3 linked regions of the Arabidopsis thaliana genome follow. The protein of the gene in region 3 interacts with the protein of the main gene of each other region in a biochemical or structural test. Each region holds a gene or a part of one and is shown on either strand. Other genes may lie near its edges. The genes, in order: CIPK23, CPK6 and NRT1.1.

Region 1 (7,030 bases), 6.5 Mb from region 3:
TCACTGAAATATATGTTTTAATCACAAGAGAAACATCAACCAAGTTTATACTATGTCTGAAATAAATGTAGTCATATATGACAAATATACAGATAATACAACGTTATTTTACGTTATTTTTTTTTTCTTTTACCGTTAAAGTTCAAAATTTAATTACTAATGATGAACTTTTAAATATATTTACGTATAAAATAATCAAACATAGATTTAAAATAATTGTGACTATATGTCTCAAGTACAGTTAACTCGACCGATTAAAAAGATTATTATTGTTTGATTCTTATTAGAATTGAATTTTGGTGTTATGTTCTTTTTGTTAAAGGGTTTAGTTTTGGTATTATTAGGTTAGAAAGAGATATTGTACGCTTTGTAAAATCATTTTAATTAAGCAAATAATAATGTCTTGGTTGCCTCCAACAGACACTCGAACATGATTGTTTCTGTTAACTTCCGTTAATTTAGTTTTCTGATCACAAACACGAACTCGTGGGTCGGTTTATTTTTATTTCCGAGGTCAAATATTATAATGACTGACCGGGAATATACTTTCTTGATAAGAAAGTCATTATTTACACATTAGGGTTTTTAAGAGATTAAATATAATTTTCAATCTAAAGCATCTGCAATGATCATCAACTGAAGAAAATTATGATGAAAAGATTTGAGAATTTACATTCAACGACTAAACGAGTATGAATATATATGAATCAGATAACTTTTATTTTTAAAAATATGCATCATGATGGTCATGGCCTCATGGGCTATCAATTGTAAAGTCAAACCCTTTCAAGAAAACGTGGCAAGGTCATGTGTATGTACATTTGCCCACCAATGATTTGGTTCTATTGTTTTATGCTAATACGATGATTATTAGATAACATTCTCTTTGATGAGCACCATAAAAATCAGAAACTAGGTTTAAACTATTTTGGGTTGAAAAAACAAGTATAACTAGTTAGGTTGATAACTGTATACTGTATTTATAATAGAGCATTATTTCTTATAGAAACACAAACACATATATAATCTAGACAGAAGATTCTAAACATTTGATCGAACCATCGAAAATTTAATGTTTAATGGTTTGTATCATTAAGTGCCCCTTTTGTGAAACATTTAGTATTGAAAAGGGCACGTAGCTCCTTGATACTGGTAACGGCTTTTCCATAACATCAAAAGTTCAATTGGACGTTTCAAATCTAATCAATAGTATTTATTAGAGTAAATAAAAGATCCTCTTACGTTTTATAAATCTTATAAGTACACATGTTTGGAATCTCGGAGTATAAAAAGATACTTGGATAAGTGATGGCAGCTAATTGGATAAGTGGTGGACTTAGTTCAATATTTTTATTAAAAGTTTGCATATATATATATATATATATATATATATATATTTTAATAATTAATATTAATTAGAATTTAATTGAGCAATTTCGAGAATATTATTTAAGTTAGGTAAGAATTTTTTTGTACTAATTTATCTGTTTTTATTTTTACGAGAAATTAAAGATAAAGAAAAATTTATAAATTCTTTACTGTCGTTCTTTAACTCTTTTGAAATCGTTGATTATTCGGTTGGAGAAAATATCATATTTTTTATTTTCTTTTTCGAAATTTTGTTTTAAAAAATTATGACAGCTAATTACACGGCATGTAAAAAAGTAAAATATTTACTTTTATTTATATTTGATAAAAAAGGATGACATAATTTTCTGTAATCACCATAAGTCCATAACGTTTGCATTTAAATTATCAAAGACTAAGATAAGCCTAGAATAATTTAAAATGTAAACTATAGTATACGTCAGAACCTACAGATACAACCTTCCTCGTATAATCCCTAAACAGAATTTTAATTAAACATTTCCTTAACTAATTTACTTCTTAATTTAACTTTTAAATTCCTTCCACCATCGAATCACAATCTCTCTCTCTCTCGCTTGCTGTTACTCGCTTTTTCCCAGAACCGGCTTCGATTTTTCTAAAGCAGCCGAAATTTACGATTCCCAGAATTTTCCCTACTGACAAAATTTCACTTCAAATACAAATCTCGTCTTCATGAGTCTTCTTCTTCGTCCAAATTGAATTTTCTCCGCACACGAGAGTTGAATTTTGATTTTCGGCTGTTTATATGGTCTCCGGTCCCTTAGGGTTTTAATTCTTCTGCAGATCTCTCACGATGAGCGTTGCGAAATCCCAAGTATGGCAGCCATGCAAGAAGAAGAGGTCCTCCTCCTGATTCAATAGAGATCTATCTATATATATATAAGAGACCGAGATATATATATAGAGAGAGAGATGGCTTCTCGAACAACGCCTTCACGATCGACTCCTTCACGATCAACGCCTTCTGGTAGTTCTTCTGGTGGTAGGACACGAGTTGGTAAGTATGAGCTTGGACGAACTTTGGGTGAAGGAACTTTCGCTAAGGTCAAATTCGCTAGAAATGTTGAGAATGGTGATAATGTCGCTATTAAGGTTATTGATAAAGAGAAAGTTCTGAAAAATAAGATGATCGCTCAGGTATGTATTATACAATTCTCCAGCTGCTGTGTTCTTATTGGGAATCTGATTTACGCAGTTGTGATATAACCTTTGATTTTGGATTTTGTAGATCAAGCGTGAGATTTCGACGATGAAATTGATCAAGCACCCGAATGTCATTCGTATGTTTGAGGTTTGATTCTGATACTATAAAGCTGAATTCAAAGTTGTGTTGCACGTTTTGGTTGTTGTTGTTGTTCTATAGATTTGTGCTATAAGCTGAGATTCGTTTGAAGTTATGGAACATATTTGTGGTCCCTGGCTAATCATATGTATGTAATATAAGGGATTTGATTATTCTATGTATTTTTTTGGTATCTTTGTAGTTACAGATTCTCTTCTTCTTCTTCTTCTTCTTCTTCTTCTTCTTCTTCTTCTTCTTCTTCTTCTTCTTCTTCTTCTTCTTCTTCTTCTTCTTCTTCTTCTTCAGGTGATGGCTAGCAAAACTAAGATCTACTTCGTTTTGGAATTCGTCACTGGTGGGGAGCTTTTCGATAAAATTGTAAGATTTCATTGAAAGATGTGTTTTTTTTTTCTTAATACTATGTGGAAATGAGATCTTAATTCTTTAGAATTGTCATGTATTAGTCAAGCAATGGGAGATTGAAGGAAGATGAGGCGAGGAAGTATTTCCAACAGCTGATTAATGCGGTTGATTATTGTCATAGCAGGGGAGTTTATCATAGAGACCTTAAGGTTAGGAATCTTACTTTGTGATCCTCTTGCATAGGGTTTCTTGTGAATCAATTGGCATCAGAATAAAAGTTTGATGTGTTTGAATCATGTTGCACATTCTGGTTGCAGCCAGAAAATTTGCTTTTGGATGCTAATGGTGCTTTGAAAGTGTCTGACTTTGGATTGAGCGCTCTACCTCAGCAAGTTCGAGTGAGCATCGAGATATTGATTTCTTTTTCTATCATTTCATTGTAAATATCATAGTTCGATAATTCAGCTACTATGGCTTCTAAGGAGAAAGATTTCCATGATTTATTCAAAAGCTGATTTTGTGACCCTTTTTCTTTAGGAGGATGGGTTACTTCACACAACCTGTGGAACACCCAATTATGTTGCTCCGGAGGTATTAGCAACTGCTACTGAAAACTGACACACAATTTTCTCAAAACTTGAATTCTATTATTTTCTAGTCTCAGTAACCTTCTATATTTTCTCCCTAGGTAATCAACAACAAAGGTTATGATGGAGCGAAGGCTGATTTGTGGTCTTGTGGAGTAATTCTCTTTGTTTTAATGGCTGGTTATTTACCTTTTGAAGATTCTAACCTGACGTCGTTATATAAAAAGGTATTACGCTTGCCTCTTCTTCTTTTGCTTTTCTTTTGATACATATCATTTTACATGCTATCAGAAAGGCTTCAAGGTCTAGGTGCATTTGGGTGGCTGTATAAAAGCCTCTGTCATTTTTGTATGAGACGTATATAGCATAAAAGCCACCTGATTTTCTTTCTTCATAATTACAGATATTCAAAGCAGAATTTACTTGCCCTCCCTGGTTCTCTGCAAGTGCTAAGAAGTTAATCAAAAGAATTCTGGATCCCAATCCAGCAACGGTATATTTTTCTTACCCTATTATATAATTTATATTAGAGGATCTCTCCTTTGAAGAGGCAAAAGCTTCTATAGGATTGAGTAGATCTGAAGGCTTACACTGATTTTTTATATTGGGCAGAGGATTACATTTGCTGAGGTCATTGAAAATGAGTGGTTTAAAAAAGGGTATAAAGCACCTAAATTTGAGAATGCTGATGTCAGCCTTGATGATGTTGATGCAATCTTTGATGACTCAGGGGTAAGGCTAGTGTTCTTTTGTTTGTTTTTTTCGGTACTTTGTCCGGGATGATTGCTCAGTTGTTTTTGTTTGTTAATAGGAGTCTAAGAATCTTGTTGTGGAGAGGCGAGAAGAAGGACTCAAAACACCAGTAACGATGAATGCTTTTGAGCTCATCTCGACATCCCAGGGTCTCAATCTCGGTTCACTTTTCGAAAAACAAATGGTACAGAAGTCTGATACGTAAAGCTGGTCTTTAAATTTCGTCCCCCAAGGCTCTTATTTTGTTGACAATTTTTAACTATCTTTTTGCGGTTTTGGTCAAACCTAATAAGAAGTAGCTTTGCCACAAAATTTTAGTGACCAATACTTTTCTTTGGAAGCCCGTACTTAGTTTGATAGAAGTCGTCATTCTGATTGATAAGCTTCTCTGATTTCAGGGGCTGGTGAAACGAAAAACTCGATTTACTTCCAAATCTTCGGCTAATGAGATAGTTACAAAAATTGAGGCTGCGGCAGCACCTATGGGGTTTGATGTCAAGACAAATAACTACAAGGTTAGAATACTGTTACGTATTTACCCAATGCTGTGGAGTTGTGTATTGGTTTGTTGCTTCTGAATAGACCCTTTAACCATTTCTCAACTCCTTCAGATGAAGCTGACAGGAGAGAAATCAGGCCGCAAGGGTCAGTTGGCAGTTGCCACTGAGGTTAGCTTTCACAATGACCAGTGATCACCCTTTGTATGGTTGGCTGAACCTAATTTAAGTTAATTGACATCTACCTTCAGGTTTTTCAAGTTGCTCCATCTCTTTACATGGTTGAAATGCGAAAATCAGGGGGTGACACATTGGAATTCCACAAGGTATGCAAGGGTTATTAATGCTGATCAGGTTGTATCAAACCCGAGCTTGTCAAATGGTCTTCCAGTAACTGATGTTTGAATCTTTACCTTTTTGCATCCTTTCTTGCTCTTCTTTTAGTTTTACAAGAACCTTACCACGGGACTTAAGGACATTGTTTGGAAAACCATCGACGAAGAGAAAGAGGAAGGAACCGATGGTGGTAAGTATCTGCCTTGAATACTCTGTTTTTTAGATAAAGCTCCTAGAAAAGGAGAAACTAACGAAACATGTAAACACAAATCCTGTTTTGTTTCTTCATGTTTCAGGTGGTACTAATGGTGCCATGGCTAACCGGACAATTGCAAAACAGTCGACATAAGCTGTTTACTTTTTTCTAATATAGATTTTGTTCGTTATAAATTACTATAGTAGTACGGAGTGGTTTTGAAGTTAATACAAAAGGAAGCGTCAAGAAGTGGAGCAGAAGCAGTTTGAAACTATATTGGGGAATGGGGATTATTGATATTTTAATCATGTTTGATTCCATGGAATGTTGTGAATAGCATATGCGTGTTGCGAGGTTCTTGGCTTGAATCGATTAACCGGAAAGTAAAAGCTTTACAGATTTGGTTTTGCAATTTCTATATTGTCGGACGCTGAGATTCGATAGATATTTCAGTTCAAATGTACTGAAAACAAACTAACACTTGTGTGTGAACCAAATCGAAATTTATTTTCATAATTTTAAAACCTGAAAAAGGAAAGCGGACTGAAAACCAATATCAGTGTAGACAAAACAAACTGAATATATAGCATGACTTGAAGTTAGTGAGATTTTAAAACCAAAATCAAGGAAAGAAAAATATCAATAAAGATTATGTCGGACCAAATACTATAACAAAAATTTAGAGATGGAAAACTTGGTGGCCAAGTTACTCTGTATTAATAATTGAGGGCGAAGAAGATGTGAACAAGAACACCAATTCTTCAATTAGGGGTTTTGTTATTCTTCTGTATTACTCTCTTGTTTATTGCTAAGAAACAGGTAAGGCTGTAGCTAAGAGTGTGGAGGAGGAGGAGGTTGGTCTTCATAATTTGGAAACAACTAATGTGGATGTGGATGAGGAGTTTGTTCCTCACAGTTTGGATGAAGCTAAGGCTGTTGTGGATGTTGTAGATGTGGAGGAGGAGGTTGGTCCTGTTGGTTTAGAAACAGCTAAGGCTGTTGTGGATGTGGAGAAAGAGTTTGGTCCTCGTGGTTAGTGGCGGAGGCAAAGTTTTTCTTCATGGGGGTCATTTTATATATATATATAAAGTATAAATTGTTTCAAAATAAAACTAAATAGTCTATTTTTTAATTGAAATATATATATATATATAGTTTTAGAAATGTTTCACTTTTCAATTAGAATATGCATGTTCTTCATTTTTTTTTGGTTTTCAGTTGTATTAAGTATTTTTTATCCTCAAAATATTGTTTTTCTATCAAAATGTTTAGTATAATGTGGAGATTGATTAGTTGTTGTGTTTACCTTGATCTATGATTTTTTAATTAAAGAGATCGAATGAATATGAAAGATGTTACAGATTTTTAGCCAACAAAAATGAAAAATCAAAACTAAAGTTGTGGAAAATGAATATGTATGGGGTCAAATACAGAAATTGATCACATGACATGGGGGTCATTCTATAAACTTAACCCAAAATATCTACTAATTAATATATAAACTTACCTTATAATAATAAAAATATAAAGTTCATGGGGGTCAATTGACCCCCCTCCTTATATGCTACCTCCGCCACTGCTTGTAGTTTAGATGAAGCTAAGATTGTTGTTACTACTGAAGATCTTG
Region 2 (6,373 bases), on a different chromosome or scaffold from region 3:
CTTTCCCGCTATTGATTTCTCAATTGTAAGAAAAACATCTTATATGGTTAATATATATCTCTGTGGAAATGTTGGCAAGTTGCTTATGCTTTGACCTCTATGGTTTTAGATTGAAACCGACAATGATGTTCTGTGGAAGCCGAGTCCAAGAGAGAGCCTTGAAGAAGTTGCAGCCAGAGGTGTAGAGTTCATCAAATGGTGAGTTTCATTTTTGTTACTTATTTCCACATGGAGATATATGTAAACATATGTATAGCTGAATCTCTCTACTGCCATTTGCTTTGTGAAGGATATGGACAAGGAAAGAGAAGGAGATCGCAATTGTATCTCACAGTGGCTTCTTGCACGGTCTCTTGAGTTCTTTCGGGAAGGATTGTTGCGATGACCTAAAGAAAGAGTTGTCTATACAGTAAGAGCTTAAACAAAAACTTGATGTCTACAAGCACCAACAATTTGTATAACTTGAAACTGTTTAACTAATCAACATCTTTAACTTTGTTCAGTTTGAGCAACTGTGAGCTTCGCTCAATGGTTATCGTGGATCGAGGGTAAGCAATAATTACAATAAGTTTTGACAGAATATAAATATAATTTGAGAGTGTGTTGGATTATTTATTATGGTGTTGGGTGTGTAGGAACCTGGGGACTGACTCTGCAGAGACCACAAACTATCCTGGGAAGGTTCCTGAAGGACTTGATAATCCTAGTGGCTAAATGGCTGAAGAGTAAGAGAGAGAATTCTGAGATAGTTTTTCTTTCTAAAATAAATAAATTACATGATGTTTCCATTGGACTAGAATCTGGCATTTTCAGTTATTTGATGAACATTAGTGTTGGTATGTAGCCATGTAGGTTGACTCTGCTGCTACATGAATTTATTGTATGATTGTTATTATCCAAAATTTAGCGGTAGCTTTAATATTTCTGCTCCAATTCTCATTTTAGCTGTGATTATACAATTGTGGAAATAATAGCATTACAAGTAGAGGAACTGGTAGATGCAACTAAATTATAAGTGTGAATCTTAGATGAGTAGATTTATCTCTATCAACATGAGAACCAGCAGAAACTTAAAACATTATTTATGTAAGATCAACTTCATATTTTATGGCAGCTGTGTTGAATTTTCTTATGGCCAAGCATTTTAATAAAACAAAGAGAAAATTCCAAAAATTACACTCAGCTTTTCTTATAGTACTAGGTTTTATCTTTTGGTGTTGAGATTTTTTATGAAAATAGAAAATGTTTTAAGTGTTTTTATAGAAGTAGATCAAAGTTTAATGCTCTTCGTACGTTCTATGTATTTGGACTTTAATATAATCGATAATCGTATTCAGATTCTTTATAGAAATTACGCTCTCTCCAAACTATTGGAGAAAGCTTTTACCATTAGGAATTCGAAATTTTTTGTTCCCCAATTTTGAACATATGATAAGATCTTTTAAAGAACACTCGACAATGTAAAATTTAAAGTAGGTCTAGCTTCTTATCCGTTTAAGAGAACGATTTTTTTTTTTAAATGATATGATTCACGGTTTGTAAAGTTATCTATTGGAAAATAAAAAAACTGTAAGTACAATACTGTGATGTCAAAAAGAAAAAAAAAGTACACCCAAACTAAATTTGTACCACGTGCGAGACAAATTGTAGTCTGCGATCTTACTCACTACCCGACAATGACATGCCCCATGCCTTAGTTCTTGTAAGAAAAAAGTGATATCCTATATACTTCACTAATTATTGGTAAAATTATGCAAAACTTTCAGTGCTAAAAGTTTGATTTATACTGTACTAGTTGTTATTTCAACGTAGACATACCAAAATGTTTATTCAAGAAAGCCTATATACTAGCAAAAGTAAAAAAGAATGTGACATCTTTGATGAACCAATGTGAAAAGTCAACATAATAAAACTTGAGTTTTCAGAACAAATTTAGTTGTCCATTGTTTCGATCTGTTAATCAAGACCATAAATTAACTCTTAACTATATGCATCTAATAATAATATTTTGTAGTTAGCTAAGTTAAGCACATCCAACTCTTAAAAAAAGCTAGTATAACGTTAGGCTTATAATCATTCTCTTAATAATAAGTTATCCTAAACAAATTATTGCAATTTTTTATTCTCCCTACTTGCACTAAGTATCATTACACCAGTAAAAGATGATGATCCCTTAAATTAATACTAATTAAACAAGCAATTAAGGAATGAAGAAGGTGAGACGAAACCGCGTAAAAGACCTTTCTTCTTTGCACCATCCTCTCTCCTTCATCATTTCACAAATCCACAAAAGAATCAATCTTTTTAACACTCTCTAATGATTCAACGAATCCAATTACCCAACCAGAAACAGCAACACATATAGAGATATATACTATTAAACAATAACATAACAAAGAAACCATTTTTTCTCTTTTGTTATTGACTTAAACAAAAACTATCAACGAATAATTATCCTTTTTTGAGTTTTTCCCATTTCTTCTTCGTCTCCATTTCATCGTCTTCTCGCTGTTCTGCTATATTCCGGTACTAGATCCTCTGTTTTCTCATGTTTCTTTTATTACCAAATGATTTCTTCATTTATTGTTGTGTCTTTGATTCTTTTTTGGGATCTATAATGATCGATGAACATTTAAAGCTACGACTTTTCAGGAGCTCTTGTCTTTTTTTCTTTAATCTTTGATTATGTTACAAAACAATTATGTTTTTTGAAGCTTGATCTGATGTGGGTTCTTTGATTTCGTTCCAAAGTTTGATACTTTTTTGGCTTCTCTTTATCTGATTTTTTTTGTGTATGTTTGTTCATGAAACAGTTTCGTTGGATGAGGAGAAGAAGAAAGTGAAAAAAGTTGTGAAATAGAGAGAGTTTGTTTCATGGGCAATTCATGTCGTGGTTCTTTTAAGGACAAAATCTACGAGGGCAATCATAGTAGGCCCGAGGAGAATTCCAAATCCACCACCACTACTGTTTCCTCTGTTCATTCTCCTACTACAGACCAAGATTTCTCCAAACAGAACACCAATCCAGCTCTTGTGATTCCTGTTAAAGAACCCATTATGCGGCGTAACGTTGACAATCAATCTTACTATGTTCTTGGTCACAAGACTCCTAACATTCGTGATCTTTACACGTTGAGTCGTAAGTTAGGACAAGGACAATTCGGGACAACGTATTTGTGTACTGATATTGCCACAGGTGTTGACTATGCTTGTAAGTCTATATCCAAGAGGAAATTGATATCTAAAGAAGATGTTGAGGATGTTAGGAGGGAGATTCAGATTATGCATCATTTAGCTGGTCACAAGAATATTGTTACTATTAAAGGAGCTTATGAGGATCCTTTGTATGTTCACATTGTGATGGAGCTTTGTGCTGGTGGTGAGTTGTTTGATAGGATTATTCATAGAGGTCATTACAGCGAGAGGAAAGCTGCTGAGTTGACCAAGATCATTGTCGGTGTTGTTGAGGCGTGTCATTCTCTTGGTGTTATGCATAGAGATTTAAAGCCTGAGAATTTCTTGTTGGTTAATAAGGATGATGATTTCTCTCTTAAGGCCATTGATTTTGGTCTCTCTGTTTTCTTCAAACCAGGTAAGCGTTAGTTGCGAGTTTCTCATTGTTCTGAATCTATTTAAGTACCATGATGTGTTTTGTAGTATACATTACTGTGACTTTCTATTCATCAAATGAGTAAGGGAATGTAAATGTTTCAGCTTTGCATAATGTGTAGTCTTACTCTAATATCAGGCCAAATATTCAAGGATGTTGTTGGAAGTCCATACTATGTTGCTCCTGAGGTTCTTCTAAAACATTATGGTCCAGAAGCTGATGTGTGGACTGCTGGTGTTATACTCTATATCTTACTAAGTGGTGTCCCGCCTTTCTGGGCAGGTATGCGGGCGATATAGCTGTTTCAATGCGTTCTCTTAATTAGTGCCATTGACAAGGTTTCCTGAAGTTTGGTTTTGTGTTTTTGAAATCAGAAACACAGCAAGGAATATTTGATGCTGTGTTGAAGGGATATATTGACTTTGATACAGACCCGTGGCCTGTCATATCCGACAGTGCTAAAGATCTGATCCGGAAGATGTTATGCTCTAGTCCTTCTGAACGTTTGACTGCTCATGAAGTCTTGCGTACGTAATCAATTACACTTAAATAAATGGTTACATTTGGCAGCCACACAACATTAGACTATATCTCTTGTATGTATCTCTTTTTTTTTCAGGTCATCCATGGATCTGTGAGAATGGAGTTGCACCGGATAGAGCACTTGACCCGGCTGTTTTGTCTCGTCTAAAACAGTTTTCTGCAATGAATAAATTAAAGAAGATGGCTTTAAAGGTCAGTTTGTAGTTATACTCAATCTTCTATTGTCTCTGCATCACATTCGTTTGAGATATGTTTACTCATATTAGTGATTATGGAATGATCAGGTGATAGCTGAGAGCCTCTCAGAAGAAGAGATTGCGGGTTTAAGAGCAATGTTTGAGGCAATGGATACTGATAACAGCGGTGCAATCACTTTTGATGAACTCAAAGCTGGCTTGAGAAGATATGGATCAACCTTGAAAGACACCGAGATCCGAGATCTTATGGAAGCGGTAACAATGCATCCTTTTGAGATATGCACACTAGTTCATTTCGCTATATAGATGACAATAACCATACTCTCTGTGTTGTATCTTAGGCTGATGTGGACAACAGCGGTACAATAGATTACAGCGAGTTTATTGCAGCGACGATCCATCTGAATAAACTAGAGAGAGAAGAGCATCTTGTCTCTGCATTTCAGTACTTTGACAAAGATGGAAGTGGTTACATCACCATTGATGAGCTGCAACAATCTTGCATTGAACATGGGATGACCGATGTTTTTCTTGAAGACATAATCAAAGAAGTAGATCAAGACAACGTAAGCTTTGCCTCTTGACATGATTCTTCCACTCTTCACCATTGGTGTTTGCTAATAAAGTTTTGGTTTTTGTTTCTTACAGGATGGACGGATTGATTACGAAGAATTTGTTGCGATGATGCAAAAGGGAAATGCTGGTGTAGGGAGAAGAACAATGAAAAATAGTCTAAACATCAGCATGAGAGATGTGTAGGCACATACACACATCTTTAAATCGTCTATTCGGTGAGGATGCAAATGTTTCCATGGAATCAACATTTGCAATGTTTAATCACAGAGGAGGAAGAGAAACCAGATTCATAGCTGCAGCGAACCAGCTAAATCGTTGAAGGTTTGAGTTAAAAATGTTAAAAACTACTGTATGATTAAAAAATGGTGAAAGATAAAAAAAAAGTGTTAAGTTCTGTTCATCAGTAGCTGTGAGGACTATTTCTATTTTCTCTCTCTCTGTTTTGTTTGTTTGTAACAACTGTTTAAGTTTGGTTTTTATTTCATCTCCATCGTCGAAAGCTTTGACCCTTTTTGGGTTTTTGAAAGATCAAATCATCTTCCAATATAGTACAAATGTGATATACAAGTTGTGTGACAATCTTCCACCTTTTAGTTGTTGTTGCTGTTGTTAGTACACAAACGCATACTCTTCACTTTGGTTTGTTAAACTTTTTAGCTCGGCTTTGGTCGTCTTTTCTCACATGCATACTTCCAAATTGGAGTCATAGCGACAACATTAATACAACTAGTCAACTACTATGTTACAAGTTTCTGTCCACTAATTTCTTTCTCTAATTACATCTGAATCTGTAAGTACATAAACATGTATGTACATATGAACACATGAGTGTGTGTATATACACAAAAATTTATGTAATAAAAGAGCAATAATTGATGTAAAATGTGGAATACTGTATGATGATAGCTACTAAGTCTCAATCATGTAATCAAAGTGATGTCTTAGAACCAAACTTAAGGTTGTTCGAAACAATCAATCATACATTGGTCCCAATGTGGTGGATTGGAACATGACAGGGAAACCATGTGCTCCCACTTATTTATATATATGCATCGTATGTTCGTATGTATTAATGTATATACATTTCACACCACATGCAGTGAGTTATTTATGTCACCTTTTATTTAGTTTTCCGAAAAATGGTGAAATAGATTGGTCAAATTTCGTCTACAAAGTAAATTAAAAAAGATCATTAAATCAGTCGTTACGAGAAAATAAAGCACATCCTCATATATCAAAGATTAAAAATATAATAAAACTAAACAATACATGTACGCACACGTAGAAGATTAGGGTTTTGAGTTATGCCGCCTCCTACCATCTATATAAATAAATCTAGCGTCTCTAATATCTTCATAAACCTCTCAAACTTTGCTGAGCTTGATTATTCCATAGATGTTTGGTTCTTGATTCTCTATATCCTACTCGTTTGTTTTGTATAGAAGTT
Region 3 (7,595 bases):
AATCGTTTCAGAGGGACAAGATATTCTAAAGTAAAGACTTGTCAAGCATTAACTTTGAAGAGAAGATTGTATTGGCTGAGTGATAGGGTTCTCTTCATCCATTGTTTTCTGTTTTTTCCTTGGTCGTCCTTGAGGTTTCTTGGGTGGTTTTGGCACTGCTTTACGCTTGCATGAACGTTTGTTGTGTCCGACTTGTTGACAGTTGCTGCAAGTCTAAATATGCAAAGATTAAATTAAATAATTTGAAAAAGAAGATCTTGTGAAACATAATTCATTGTTTTCTATTTTACCATTTGAACTTTTTCACGTGTATAAGGAACTTTTTGAGGTGGACGATCTTCAGTTGGATCACGGATTCTGTCATTGTTCTTTGGTCGATTTTTGGAAATTAATATCCCATTAATATTTAATTACTGTAGGGTTAAGTTTATTAACAGGTTTTAGTTCAGGGTTTGTTTTACTAAAAACATAGTTCAGGGTTTAAAAATGGATCTGGCCAAAATTGAGGGTTTTTTTCATTAAATTCCCTATAAACAATTCGATAGTAATTCATCGAAATTATAGCTAATAATTGGTATTTATCTGATTGAAAAATAATTGAAAAAAAAAACTGGATTGTTGATCAGTTTAGACTTTAGACTGATGATTCTTTATCCAATTAGCTACATAGTTGAAAGATATAAAAGTATATATCCAAAAAATAAAAGTAACAAGTGTAAACAAATAAAAGTAATATTCATCATTTGTCATATTTAATTTGTATTCATCATGATTATATATGTTTTGGACTTAATCATGCAGCTCCTTGATAATTCAAATTAATCACTTGACCAGTAGTCATCGAGAGACAATTGAGCCAGTAAATTCACAGAGCTCGGTCATAATTCAATTATAGTTTTAAAGACAACTTTTTTTGTTTACCAATATTACAAAAGAAAGGTGTGATAGTCCACTAGGCACTAGCTAGTGGCCTAGACGCCTAGTTCTGGTCCAAATTATTCACATATTCGAAAACAAACGATACCAAAACAAGTGAGAAAACAAACGTTGAATGGTATGATAATTTACTGGGAAAAAATGAAAAATGGAAATTGAAGACAAAAAGACGTTAATTGCGTCAAATCTTAAGAAATGTTACAATTTCTGCTTTTATACAGAACCTGATGGGAAAACTTTAACTTTTATCCCTTATCGGTCGGTCCATTATTTGTCGACTCGGAAACAAGAGGTAATTAAGAAAAGCATCATAAAATATACAAACAAAACTCAAAATCAAATTCAAACATATCAACATAGACATGCATAATGTTCATCATCATGATCATGATCATGAATTCATGATCAATGACCCATTGGAATACTCGGCTCATCATCCAACTCAATCCCCACCTCAGCTAGTCTTTTTTCCTTGTAAACGTACCACTTGGAGAAAACTAGGAAAATGAGGAAGTTCAAGGCAACAAGTACGGCCACAAGCCAGTAGAAATTGTAAAGACGGCCCTTGTTGAGATCATCGGCAATCCATGGATGAGCTTTCCCGGTGAATTTCTCGACGATTGTCACGAGAACCGAGCTGAAGAAAAAGCCTAATGCCAATGTGCTCAACAATAGACCCGTGCTCATCCCTTTCATACCTTTAGGGCACTCTCTCAAGAAGAAATCTAACTGTCCTGTGTAGATTAACGCTTCGCCGATACCGACAATAAGATATTGTGGGATGAGTAGATAAAACCCTAGAGGAAGCGTTTTGACTGTTGGACCATGAGCGTGTGCAGTTCTAAGACGTTTGAGCTCGACCAAAGCAGCCACAGCCATAGCCATTGATCCGAAGAAAAGCCCCAAACCGATCCGTTGAAGCGGTCTTAGACCATGGGGGTAGTTGAATAGCTTTTTGCATAGACGAATGGCGACGCGGTCATAGACGGCGGTGGTTAGGAGGAGGCCACCGACGTAGAAGACTGCCATCGATGCTGGAGGGATCTCGAAGCTCCCGATGGAACGGTCCAATGTCTCGGATTGTGCGACTGATAATGTCGTTAATTGAGCGTGGACGGTCCAGAAGAGGATGCATGTTGCCCAAATTGGTAACATTCGCACGATTTGTTTCACTTCCTCAACATCTGTTAGTGTTGAGAGTGTCCACTTGTTGAATACATTCGAGGTAACTCCCGCTTCCTGATCCCTTATTGCTGCCTTATCTAATGAACTGTGGCATCAAAAATGATATAAGGAATAATTAGAATATAATAGTAAATTATGTAAAATGGAGATAAAATATTTTACATATATTGGATTAAAGATAAGTATCTGATTTTTCAAACCAAAGATCTTTTGTGTGTTTCTTAGAAAATTATGAAGTGTCCCTATTTATTGAAATTTCATATCAATAATACATTGTTTCTTTTTTTGGAATATAGCTTACGCATTGAATATTTGAATCAACATGTTGTGGAGATAGTTACGTGGAATCTTTTCAAGATGATATATCCTTCACACACATGCATGACAAATACGTAATTGCTTTTAAAATAGTGTAGGCAAAAAAAAGTTAAGAGTTTGAATTTATGGAAAAGTGTAAAAGGTTTTTTCTTTAGTTTTCAACTACCTTTTAGAGAGACCCAAACGAAAGAGAAATTTAATGAAGCACCGAGCACGCAAAGCACGTGTCGTGCATGTGACGCTAGGGTTCTTAATTATGCCTAACTTTGGGTCTGTCCCGGTGAAGGTGTAAAGTAGTGGAGGTGCTACGACACGATATTTGATCGTTTTCACTACAGACAAAACACCTGCCTCCCTACCCTAACTTCTCGTCTCTTCTTCTTTATTAGTTTTATTTCCGAGAAAGGGATTCCAATATCTAGAGATGCTAAATAGATTTTCCATAAATTATCTGGTATAAAGAAAAATTGATTCCTTTGGATTCTTTTATTTCTATGTAGGTATGCATAGGGATTGATGGATAAAAGATACTGTACTTAAGTTAGCAAAAATAAAAGATACCGTACTTAAAGGGGGAAAACTCACGAGTCAGGGGAATATAAATATAGATATATGTGTGTCAGTGTATGTGTATTTAAAGTTATAAGGCATTAGAATCATAATCATAATTATAATACTATAATAAAGATAAAATAGCAAATTGGTGTATTTAATTTTCCGCAATGATGAAGATACTCTTTCTGTAAAAACCAAATATTCTACGAGTGGGTGTGAAATTTTTTATAGGCAAAAAGTAAAGATGGAGAATTTTACCCCACTTGATATCACTTGCATATACTTATTCATTTGTTTATCTGAATTACTTTATCTTTCCGACTAATTCCGAGAGACTACTTTTATTTTCCTACCTATTCTATGAACCGAACTTAACGTGTTATCTAACAAAGATATACACATGCACACACACATAGGATTTTAAGGAAAAAATATACAATATAAAATGCCAAAGTAGGGACTTTGAACCCAAAAATCCAAAAATGTTGTAATTAGCTGTATAATTCGTATCCTGGACCAGTTTCGCTGTATGGTCGAGTAATAATATTATGAAAATAATTTATTTTCCCCGTAACAAAAGACAAAGAAAGATATTCAACACCTTTTAATTAATTTATAATGGCTGTCAAAAAAAAATGATTTCTAATGCCAAGTAGGCATATAATGAGAAATATTTACGGTCCCACTATAATTAAAGGACACGAGCATTTCGAGTTATTTCTCACCCACACAACCCCACTTTTAATTTCACATTTTTAAAGTCTACTGATACTATCACATTTAATTAAGGGAACCAGTACCTCAATTATTTCAATTAACCCTTAAATGGAAAAGAAAAAGAAAAATTTTAAAACTTTTATCTTAAAATTTAAATCATTGTAAGTTTTGAGGATCGTACGTGGAAAGCAAATGATGAGTTAATTAAAAGAATCGTACCGGAATTGTTCAGTGTGTGGCAGCTTTTGTTTACCCTTCATCGAACCTTCCGCCGCAATAATATCATCCACATCGTAGAGATAGGACGGATCTGCCGGCAGCTCGAGCTTCCTATTCCTCCACGCCGCCACGATAACCGCAGCAACCTGCGTCATCGGGCTACCGATCAACTTCTTGAAACGGTAGCGGTTTGTTCCGGCCAAGAAAACGCTGAGTGCAAGCACGATCGCAAACGCGCAAATTCCATAGCCCCATTTGCGTCCAACATCGTCTTGTACGTAGACAAGGACCGTCACAGCTAAAAGAGAGCCAACGTTGATACAAAAGAAGAAACGGTTGAAGAAATATGTCATTTTCGATCGTTCTTTTGGTTCGGTCTCATCGAATTGGTCCGACCCGAAACCCGAGACACTAGCCTTCACGCCTCCCGTTCCTAGAGCGGTGAGGTATAAGGCTAAGTATAGGACCGTCAGTTGTATTCCACTTGCTTGTTCGCAGTGAGACGACGTTGTTGGATTGCATCTTGGTGGTCGAAGTCCCGGTATGATTGTTGATAGAGTTAAGATTGAAACACCCTGATAGCATCATAGTTCATAACACGGATATTATTTTTCGGAAAACTATAACAAAAATAACGACTTATGCTGTTTACTATTTCGATTTGTTTATTGACTAGACAATATTTTTATTTTCTTCGTTTTCTTGGGTATAAGTTTTGGTAAGGAGAAAGGGACTTTTGAGGTCCTTACCGTGGCTTGGATTGCGGCGAATATAGCAATCGTTAGGTACCTATACAAAACAAAATGAATGAACTCAAATTAATATTTTAAAAAGAATCTGAATGATTTTAGTTAAGTAAATATAAATATATTTATAGACAAACCTGCCGAGAAAGGTATCGGCGATGAAGCCACCGAGGAGACAGAGCATGAAAGAAGTTCCGAGGAAATTGGTAACGGTGTTAGCCGCAGTTGCATTGCCTAAATGCATAGTTCCCGTCAAATACGTCACCAGATTAACTCCGATACCTAACGTCGTCAGCCTCTCCACGGCCTCAATACCTTCACACAATAAAATTTTGTTAATGATAAAGTTGGATACATCGAGAATACATAAAAGAATAAGAATGATAGCCATAAGAAACTTATAACTTAGTAAATGCCATTAAAAAGTTTCAATTCTTGTCTTCAGCATGTATATTGTTGGTAGCTTTTCTCTAGAACTTTTATTATGTGATTATACTTACAAAGAATCATGGCGGCGCTGGCCCAGCCGCCGGTTTTTGAGCGATCGGCGGGACGGCCTTGGAAGTCCCAAGCATCAAGAAGGATATCATCAGATTTAGTTTCAGGAAGAGACATCTTGAAGATGGATTAATGATCTCTCTCTTTTTTTTGCAGTTTTTGGGGGTGTTTGTTCTTATGTAAAAGGCTGTTTTGTTTGAGAGCTCTTGGTTTCTTTTGTGGTCTTAAATGTGTTCGTTGATACATCTATTTATACTGGGAAACTAGCCAAGTTAAAAAAGTTTTTATTGTTTTATTTTGATTTTTTATTCATAAAACTAAAATATTGAAGAAAAAAGTGACACATGTGTGACTCTGATGAGTGTTGTTTGATTGGGGAGAGAATAATTAATAATAATAACTACTACTGTAACTGTAGTATATATTTGTAGAAAGAGAAAATTGAGAGAGAGAGAAAGAGACCATACCTAAATTTTACCACTTCCTCTACCTTTGGAACTGTGGGCTTGAACTTTTAAGTTGAAGTCATCGGTCATTTTGTCAGTGATTCAATGGCATTAGCCATTAAAAGCACCAGTTTTAGCCACCACCTGTTTTACATTTGTTCTATTTCTTGGAAAATTATTTTACTTCCATGAAAGATAATACAGTATGTTTTTTACGTCTGTACTATATATGGAAAATAATTCAAAATAATTGATTTCTGTGTTACAAACGCATTTTCATCAATATTGTTCATTTGAGATTTTGTAGTATTGTCGAGGCATATCTATTTCGTTTTTTGAGTTTGCCCAAAAGAAAAAAAAAATCTATTTCGTTTTTTGTTTGCTCAATATCAACTTTACTTCTAGGCCCATTCAGTTGTTCTGCAGCACAGCCATATCACAAAAATTTATTGATAATCGACTCATATTAATTTGAGAGTCATGTTTTCTTTCACATGTAATTATCAAATTATAATTTTATTGCATATAGTTTGAGGAAACTATTAAATTATATGAAATTTCAATCAAAACATCTTTATAGAAGTCAATAAAAGTCCTTTTAGGTATTTGCTTTTTGTTTGTCAACAATCTAGGTCTTTGTTACAAAATTGAAACCAAAGATTTGTAGATGTTGGTATGATTACGTACCAATTTTTTCTTCTTTTGTGTTAATGGGAAAGTCTACCTTGAGATTTAATGGCTCAAAATGAATGCTTCTTAGACGCCACTAAAATGAATCATGCTGCAATATGATTATTACCCTACTTTCCATTTATTTAACGTATAGTGAAATAAAATAAATAAAGAGCATGGTCACAGGACTTTCATGAACTATATATATAATTGGAAGTCTCGCAACTTCAATGGTTCTCTTTCTCTCTGGAGAAAACATATATAGGAGTATAAAGAAGAAGAACAAAGGTCATTTTCATTTTATAGAGCCAACAGAAAAATAAAAATAATTTATTCCAACAATTTGTAAGAGATGGTTAGTTAGTTTTATTAATAAGTCTCAAAGTCTATGTAAAATATCCAATATAAAAAACGAGTCAATTTTCAAGAAAAGCAAGAAATTGTATGTTACAGAAGTAAAACATACATTTGAATCAGTTTTTTATTTATTTATTAAGTAATTGATGAATTTCTATCCTCAATTAGTTAATTTTCGAAATTTATAAAATTTATTGTATACTATGTGTCATGATCCATCTCTTTCCGAGTTATTGATATGCAGATCGATGAAATTTTGAACCCATCAATAAACACTTTCTTCGTTGCTAGTTTCATATTGCTAAATTTACTATAATATCCCCAACAATCGATTATTTTGTACACATCCAAAGATTGTGGAAGAGCGAGAACAAAAAAGTCACAATGAAGAGTCCCATCCAAAAAGAAAAAGAGAACGAGTGGTGAACCCAAATATATTATCTTCTATTGAAATTAAATTAATAAACACATCCTCCGAAAAGGAATAAGAAAATAAATTAATGGAAACTTATAAAAATAAACCCTAACTTCAAAATTGGAAAATAAAAATGAAAATGGATGGATCAAATGTTTTGGGCGGAGCTGGCTTTTGCTTATAGGTATATCTCAGGGCCCAGATTTTTGGCACGTGATAGTTGGTAGGACCACGTGAGATTCTCCCTCAGCGTTGACTCGGTCATTTCAAGAGGATGAATCTTAATCGACATTAGCAGTTAGCACGAACAAGGAAACTACCTTTTGCTTCAATTTTAATTTTTGAGTTTTACATTCAAAATGAAGATTTACAGTTTATAACAAACGTATAATTCATTAACGAATAATCTTCTGACAAACCATCAGAGTAAAAAAAAAAAAAAGGCCTTTACAATAAGCGTTAAATCCTTTAGTAGAAAAAATGATGATAGCGCATGTAAACCATTTTTAATATTGTTAGGATAGATCAGAA

Evidence for each region.
Region 1: of the proteins of NRT1.1 (region 3) and CIPK23, one has a biochemical effect on the other in vitro, tested with the Arabidopsis thaliana proteins (one study listed by BioGRID).
Region 2: the proteins of NRT1.1 (region 3) and CPK6 form a complex in vitro, tested with the Arabidopsis thaliana proteins (one study listed by BioGRID).

Annotation. Positions count from the first base shown.
Region 1 is NC_003070.9:10,652,969-10,659,998, forward strand, and holds CIPK23 (CBL-interacting protein kinase 23), read left to right. Parts: upstream 1-1,831; 5' UTR 1,832-2,301; coding exon 2,302-2,526; intron 2,527-2,617; coding exon 2,618-2,680; exon of another isoform or gene 2,681-2,819; intron 2,820-2,977; coding exon 2,978-3,049; intron 3,050-3,135; coding exon 3,136-3,243; intron 3,244-3,351; coding exon 3,352-3,432; intron 3,433-3,571; coding exon 3,572-3,625; intron 3,626-3,722; coding exon 3,723-3,848; intron 3,849-4,024; coding exon 4,025-4,114; intron 4,115-4,233; coding exon 4,234-4,353; intron 4,354-4,432; coding exon 4,433-4,558; intron 4,559-4,772; coding exon 4,773-4,889; intron 4,890-4,985; coding exon 4,986-5,042; intron 5,043-5,122; coding exon 5,123-5,197; intron 5,198-5,315; coding exon 5,316-5,397; coding exon of another isoform or gene 5,398-5,414; exon of another isoform or gene 5,415-5,503; coding exon 5,504-5,556; 3' UTR 5,557-5,932; downstream 5,933-7,030. UniProt on the Arabidopsis thaliana protein: CIPK serine-threonine protein kinases interact with CBL proteins. Binding of a CBL protein to the regulatory NAF domain of CIPK protein leads to activation of the kinase in a calcium-dependent manner.
Region 2 is NC_003071.7:7,514,131-7,520,503, forward strand, and holds CPK6 (Calcium-dependent protein kinase family protein), read left to right. Parts: upstream 1-2,199; 5' UTR 2,200-2,526; exon of another isoform or gene 2,527-2,725; intron 2,726-2,813; 5' UTR 2,814-2,874; coding exon 2,875-3,592; intron 3,593-3,748; coding exon 3,749-3,892; intron 3,893-3,984; coding exon 3,985-4,137; intron 4,138-4,229; coding exon 4,230-4,345; intron 4,346-4,437; coding exon 4,438-4,605; intron 4,606-4,691; coding exon 4,692-4,916; intron 4,917-4,998; coding exon 4,999-5,109; 3' UTR 5,110-5,532; downstream 5,533-6,373. Other genes in the region: AT2G17280 (Phosphoglycerate mutase family protein), read left to right, coding at 1-25, 110-198, 290-409, 504-548, 636-714. UniProt on the Arabidopsis thaliana protein: May play a role in signal transduction pathways that involve calcium as a second messenger. Functions in abscisic acid (ABA) regulation of guard cell S-type anion- and Ca(2+)-permeable channels and stomatal closure. Phosphorylates FD.
Region 3 is NC_003070.9:4,103,037-4,110,631, reverse strand, and holds NRT1.1 (nitrate transporter 1.1), read right to left. Parts: upstream 5,410-7,595; 5' UTR 5,292-5,409; coding exon 5,177-5,291; intron 4,992-5,176; coding exon 4,814-4,991; intron 4,720-4,813; coding exon 4,680-4,719; intron 4,506-4,679; coding exon 3,931-4,505; intron 2,207-3,930; coding exon 1,342-2,206; 3' UTR 1,031-1,341; downstream 1-1,030. UniProt on the Arabidopsis thaliana protein: Dual affinity nitrate transporter. Involved in proton-dependent nitrate uptake and in the regulation of the nitrate transporter NRT2.1.